Linked DNA regions of Neurospora crassa OR74A. Each later gene encodes a partner of the first gene's protein in a complex. Links are inferred from orthologs where the notes say so. Each region holds a gene or a part of one and is shown on either strand. Other genes may lie near its edges.

Region 1 (3,042 bases):
TCTCAATCTCGGGAATCCGAAGCCAAAGGCCTTCATCGTCAGCAGTCAGACCAAAAGGCCGGATCATGGACCCTAAAAGAGTCCACGCATCGCCATGTGCGCTTTTGAAGAGTGCCTGGCCACCAATAGGACAATGTCAGCGCTTCTCTTGTACTATAGGTGCTTCCAATCTCATCATCAGGGCTAAGGTCATGAGGTCAAGCATACCCAAAACATCTGGTCCATGTTCTTACAGATGCAGATATCGACCTGGATGTGTCGTTGCCTGTCCTCTCCAAGCTGGGGTTCGTCTTTGGGCCAGGGGATAGCAAGGTGTATCGAATTATTACATGGGTTGACTATGGAGCGCTCCGCGTTCAAGGCTGCCTTGATGTCGGCCGCAAGCTCCTCCACCCCTCTGGGAATACAACGCCGGGGAGATGTTGGAAAGACGAGGCGGGTCTCCATGGCCACGAGGATGTCGAGGTCTCCATAGTCCTCTTTCTCGGGGCCCTCGACGGGTCCGGCGACGCACACAAACATAGTGCGTAGGGTAGCGTGGCATGCGGCTTTGACATGATGGTAGATATGGGGCGGCATGCGTGGAGTGTGTAGAGGATCGTTACCCGAGGAGAACATCGAGCCACCCATGTCGCAACGATTTGAGCTATTCGATCGTGAACACTGGAAAAGAAAAGCTTGAAGCTACTGAGCAGAAGTCGATGATGGATCTTGAGAAGGCCTGTTAAGTAGCCGATGGATCAGCAAAAAATCTCGAGTACGAGATGTACGAGGCATAATACATAGGTAAGCCGGCGTCAGTGAAGCGCAAAGCTGCCAGGGTTGCCTTCATCCAAACAAGATAAGGCTAAATGCGTTCAACGTATAGATGGAATGGGCTCGATTGGCCTCGGCCCGTGAGGGATACTACTAAAACAACTGAGATTCAACTTGGAAGCTGAGCGGTGCCCGTTTGCCCAGGTTTCCACCTGCTCGACAACCTGGTCGGCAACCATTCTTCACCATCGTCATCGCTCTTGCAGCTATTCCTGAGCCCTCAGGTTCAAGGTATATCGGCATCTTGTACTCGTCGCCCCTGCCCTCAGATTCCCGAGAACTAATTGCGAAACCATTGCCAGGGAGTGAGATGATATCAATAACAAGATGGGTGGGAACATGGTAGCGGTTCGTTTCCATCGCTCGATTATTCTCCTAAACCATGTATGCACTATGCGAAGGATCTGTGGAAAGGCTGAGCGCTGTCACGGTGTGGCAGTGCCTATACTAATGTCGTAGGTACCTACGTATGTCAAAGCTTCCTCTAGGCGCTGCGGGCCGCCTGCAGGACTTTTGCCTAGGTGCAGTACGGGCCTCACGAACGTTGCCCGTTAACATTGATACCGACCAAGCCCTGATAACCTAACGTGCAAGAGCACCAACAATCGTCAAAAGAAGTACCTCTCAAACAACAAACATTCCTCTTTTCGACATCATCACTCCCTAATCTCACCCTCCCGCCTCAACGAGTGCAGCCGCTCTCATTACTACTCAGTTACTCGCTCAAATAAAGTCAGTCCCCTACCCAGCGCACCCAAGTCTAGAGACGTCGCTCACACTCCAAAGTCGTCCCACCGCTTAATATTCCACCTGCTGACACCTCTCCCAGCCGAGTTCCATCACACCAATCGATCAATTATGGAGAACGGAGCCACGTCTCAAAGTGAGGGTAAAGACCCCTCGGGTTTCCTCAGCGAAATCATCGGTAATCCCGTCACTGTCAAACTGAATTCCGGCGTGGTTTACAAGGGTTAGTAGTAGCTTTCACCTCGTCATTTATTGTCAAACTACTGTTGTCTTGCAACTTCTTCTCTCTCGGCAGACACATGCGGAAACTAACAGGACGCCTGGGTTGTGGCACTGCGTGGTGTAGGTGAACTGCAATCCGTCGACGGTTACATGAACATTGCCCTGGAAAAAACAGAGGAATTCATCAACGGTGTGAAGAGGCGGAGCTACGGTGATGCGTTTGTCCGCGGCAACAACGGTGCAGACCCCCCCCCCCCCCCCCCCCCCCTCTCTCTTCCCCCTTTTTCTTTTTTTCTTCTTCTCTTTTCTACAATGCCAGAGTAGCGTCTAATGTTTCTGTAGTCATGTATATATCTGCGGATTAAGGCGGCATTCCAAGCACAGTTGTGTGAGGGGGGAAGAAGCTATGATGGGACGTGAGCAAGCATTCATCGATGTTGGTACTAGGGAACACACGTGCTCGAAGTCCAGCCGGCTCAAGAGTCAGACTTTCAGCTGTTCCTCCGTGCTCAGGTCAGCAAAACAGACTGATCAATCTCACGTGCAGCAGGGGCAACCGCTCACTCAACAACGGGGCCACGTTTGTCATCACATCACCAAGTACGAACTGGGGTAGTTGTGTTCAAGAACGCAACTTTAGTTATTATAAAGGATCCTCTGTATTACATTGCCTGTTTGAATCAACTGCCGACGCTGGAAGCTGATGATCCGCAAACTCGCCCAGCGCCTTGCTCATCCTCCAAATCTGTCTCGAATAGTAAGATCCGCCAATTATCCCCAACTGCAATGCCAACAAGCAAACAGACCATGACAACAAGACTCATTCGTATTCGTTCACAGCTGTGCTCCAAATCAACCAAACCAGGCCGTCATACCAATGCGATGCTAAATGAAGTAAATGCTCCGTTGTCATGCTGTTAACACACCGACTCTCCTTCCAAGAATTCTTCCGAACCTTATCACAGACAAGAAGACCGTTCATCGTGTTTAGTTAATAGCAATGCGAATGGTTTCGTGCTTCTTGGCCTTGGGAACCGTGATGGTGAGGATGCCGTTGTTGAGAGAGGCGCTGACTGCGTTTTGGTCGACACGACCGGGGAAGTTGAAAGTCCGCGAGAACTCGCCAATGGAGCGCTCAGAGACCCAGTACTTTTCGGCTGGCGCCTTTGGCTTTTCCTCGGTGGTGGGTGCGCTTGCGCGTTGGGCGACTTGCTGATTGTTCTGGTTGTTGGCGCCGGTAGCAGTGGTGGCAACCGA
Region 2 (3,399 bases), about 1.6 Mb from region 1:
CAAGCCGGTGAGGGAAGCCCAATATAGGTAGGCGCGTACAGAACCATGCGCGATGCGACCTGTACCTGTATTAGGAACCCAAACTTGCCGTAACCGTTTGGCAGTGGGATAGCTGGAGGTCTGATAGTCGAGAGCAAATTGTGAGGTCAATGAGGATATGCTTCCCTTGCTCGAAGTTTGATAACAGCCGGGGCAACGAGTCAGGGACACTTCTAGCCAGTGGATAGAGGGGTCGAGTCGTTAAGTAGTGTAGGCATCCGTCAATGGAATATGTAGGTAGTAACACCGATTTTCGAGCGGCTGGAAACTAAGGCCCGTTTTGCTCCTTGGGCAAGCTTGGAGTTTGGTAGGACCTACTTGTGAACTCCCAATCGCACCTCGTCACATGGAACCCAACTCGATCGGATACTCTTGGCCCGGTGAGCGTGCGTCTTGGTTCAATGGCTCTCGGATGTTGCCGAGAGAAATTGAGTTCTTGTCAAGCACCTGAATTTCAAAGACGGCGCTTCTTGATTCTTGGCACACATGCCTGACAGTCTTGGACACAAGTTTCTTCGCCGCTGCATTGAGAGCCAAGATGGTAGGCGGCTGCTGCAACGCACCATGTTTTCGCTACTAGGTAGTTTGGCAGTTGTTCCCGTTGCTCAGAACCAAAGACAGAACTTGAACGATGGCCAGGCGAAGTATTCCCTCCTCAGCCGTCCGACCATGTTAAAAGGTCGTAGCAGATGATTAATGTGTTGGGATATTGACAAGCTCATCACACGACATGAAAACCCTACGGCACTGCAGAGTTGACGGACATGGTGGGAAGTCGAAGAGAAAGAAATAAACATACCAGGGCGACCTTTCATGGAACAAAAGTGTAGTGTAGTGGATGAGCTGGCGGGCCGTGTCTGTGAGCCGTCCAGCACATCAAATTGGTACTCATGACACGCATTGTTTTACACTGCTGGACGTCACGAAGAAGAGTCTGAGGAACGAAGGCAGGATTAAGAAACTTCGAGGTTTCGATCAAGCCGGTTGTGGTTGGACTGGAAGAGAAGGGAAGGGAAGTTGAGAAGCTAAAAAAGAAAGCTTGGGCCACTCAATCTACGAAGTGTAGTGTAGCGATTCACGGCTCCTGTCGTCAGCCAGTCTGGGGAATGCTACCTGGACCTCAAGGATCCACACTACCCGCACTTACAGCCGGATGGCAGCCCCACAGCGGGGTGCTTGGCAAAGCACAGCTGTGGAAGAAACTCAGCTAGGCGTCACTCCCGCCAGCGGATGCAGACGCCAAAAACGCGACTGACCCAGACGGGACGACTGACCAACCCCACGACATCCATCGCAACCCATAGCGCCAGCCAGCCTGACGACAACAATCGCAGCACCGAACGACATTACCAACACCACAAATCAACACTCGACAATCGCCAATCGGTTCGGTTTCGACGACTTCCTCTCTTCTTCCATACCCACCAGCGCAATACACGGCGCATACTCAATCAACTTCACAAAGAAACAGAACAATGGCCGATAGAGGAAATAGGGGAGGCCGTGGTGGCGGCTACCGGGGCGGTCGCGGAGGTAACCGTGGAGGAGCAGGTGGTTCTGGCTCCGGCGCCGGTGGAGGTCAGGGAGGCGGTGGTGCTCAGGGCGGTGACCGCGGTGAGCGCCCTAAGAAGGAAAACATCCTCGACCTCAAGAAGTATATGGACCAGCGCATCACTGTCAAGTTCAACGGTGGACGTGAAGGTACGTCGTGACATGGCTGTTTCCCGAGTCCCCTCAACGAGCTCCCTTAAAGCTCCCCACAAAGCTCCCTACAAAGCTGACACAAACCCTTCTCTTGTCTTCGACACAACAGTTACCGGTACGCTCAAGGGATATGATGCGCTTATGAACTTGGTTTTGGATGATGTGCAGGAAGCTGTGAGAGGTAAGCTGTTGCCTCCCTTGCCTTTCTCTGCCCAGTGCACCTCGCTCTCTTTGGCCCCAGTTGGTCCTAACCCACGCACCTATAATAGACGAAGAAGGCAACGAAACCACCCGTCCTCTAGGACTTGTTGTTGCGCGCGGTACGCTCCTCGTTGTGATCAGCCCCGTCGACGGAAGCGAGGTGATTGCGAACCCCTTCGCTCAGCAGGAGGAAGAAGCTTGAGCAGAAGGGAATGCTCGTCTGGACAAAGTAAAACTGCATCATTTTCGAAACATTATACCAACTTGGGGATCTGAACGCCATCCCGTCATGCTCGTAAACCGAGCGATACCGCAATTGGACGAGACGACAATTTTGACGAAGGAAAACGGGGCAGGACAGTGAGAAGGAACACCAGGACAGAAACCTGAAAGGTTGAGAGAAGTCTAACAATATGTTATGATATCCGCCCCACTCAAGGATAGGACGGTGCAACAAGGGAAACATTGCTGAGTTGGGTGAGCAAACACCCAGTGTCGAGCATGAAGGAACACAAGTCGGCCCCAGCTACCAACGATACCCACCAGAGGGACTGTAAGAACAGGGGTTGGCTACATCGAGAAGAAACACACATGCAGCTGGTTGCCCTGAGTTATGGTAAACGTCCAGCCAACGCCGTTATTGACGAGTGGGGGAATCTAACTGGAAATCAAGCCAGAAGGCAACATATGCCTGTTCAAGAACGTCCCTTGGCTCCATGAACTCTCGAGCAGCGGCAAGTTTTCTCATTCAGTATCTCCTAGTGGAATGAGAACGCTTGGGAAGATAACGAATAGTTCGGCTCACCGCATACATATGCCAGTTGTTTTCAGCCCACATCCTGCTCTGGGACGGAATTGGGCACGTGTTCTGAGTCTGTTTTCTAGTTCGCTATCTAACATGATCTGCTCATCGCTGTTAACCACTTTCCACCACTTAGTCCACATTTCTTCTTCTCAATCCCCCCTCTTCGCTTTCCTGGTAGGTCAAGCTCGCTTTGGTCGGGCTGCTACGTCCATTATTGTCGTTCAGCCTTCATTTGAGCTGCGATCCATATCCTCGCCATGGCAAAGGCCGTCACCGAACATGTGGAGCCATTGGCTGAAAGCGCAAGTCGAAAGACTCTATATTCAGATGGTAGCCCCCGTCGCGCTCGGTTTACTTTCCTTTCCAAGCTCGCCATACGCACGGTCCAGCATCTGTCGTATACTCCTGTAGCTGACGACGAAAACCGTGGCATTGTCGCGACTGGTGAGCAAGATCTGTTCTTCGGAGCTGGCGTCGAGCTTACTCAAGCAATTGAGGTAGTGATTCGTGTCGAGCCGAGCCTTTCCATCGGCATCCACTTGGTGGAAGACATAATCCCTGAATAGTTTTAGGAGGAGGCGCTCTCCAGTTTCCGACCAGTTGTGCACCCCACAAGAATCGCCCCGCTCGTTAACAACGGACAGTTTGAA

What was found. The genes of interacting proteins can lie anywhere in the genome.
Region 2: the proteins of NCU10352 (region 1) and NCU01930 are in contact, whole or in part, in a crystal structure (PDB 3SWN), measured with the Schizosaccharomyces pombe proteins. The link is inferred for Neurospora crassa OR74A from reciprocal best matches to the Schizosaccharomyces pombe genes lsm6 and lsm7. Residues at the interface, in NP_594380.1 of Schizosaccharomyces pombe: Leu21, Tyr27, Cys33, Asp35, Tyr37, Asn39, Ala41, Glu47, Tyr57, Asp59, Ala60, Phe61, Ile62, Arg63, Asn66; in NP_588340.1 of Schizosaccharomyces pombe: Ser24, Asp27, Leu28, Tyr31, Gln37, Thr39, Thr41, Gln45, Gln55, Leu56, Met57, Gly90, Thr91, Thr92, Leu93, Val94, Leu95, Ile96, Ala97, Pro98.

The regions. Positions count from the first base shown.
Region 1 is NC_026501.1:3,587,545-3,590,586, reverse strand, and holds NCU10352 (U6 snRNA-associated Sm-like protein LSm6), read left to right. Parts: upstream 1-1,457; 5' UTR 1,458-1,548; intron 1,549-1,645; 5' UTR 1,646-1,674; coding exon 1,675-1,786; intron 1,787-1,909; coding exon 1,910-2,023; intron 2,024-2,127; coding exon 2,128-2,150; 3' UTR 2,151-2,526; downstream 2,527-3,042. Other genes in the region: NCU09363 (hypothetical protein), read right to left, coding at 1-115, 208-630; hsp30 (hsp30-like protein), read right to left, coding at 2,773-3,042. UniProt on the Schizosaccharomyces pombe protein: Component of LSm protein complexes, which are involved in RNA processing and may function in a chaperone-like manner. Component of the cytoplasmic LSM1-LSM7 complex which is involved in mRNA degradation by activating the decapping step.
Region 2 is NC_026501.1:1,981,639-1,985,037, forward strand, and holds NCU01930 (U6 snRNP-associated protein Lsm7), read left to right. Parts: upstream 1-1,296; 5' UTR 1,297-1,514; coding exon 1,515-1,740; intron 1,741-1,852; coding exon 1,853-1,924; intron 1,925-2,012; coding exon 2,013-2,146; 3' UTR 2,147-2,883; downstream 2,884-3,399. Other genes in the region: NCU01929 (PAB-dependent poly(A)-specific ribonuclease subunit pan-3), read right to left, coding at 3,073-3,399. UniProt on the Schizosaccharomyces pombe protein: Component of LSm protein complexes, which are involved in RNA processing and may function in a chaperone-like manner. Component of the cytoplasmic LSM1-LSM7 complex which is involved in mRNA degradation by activating the decapping step.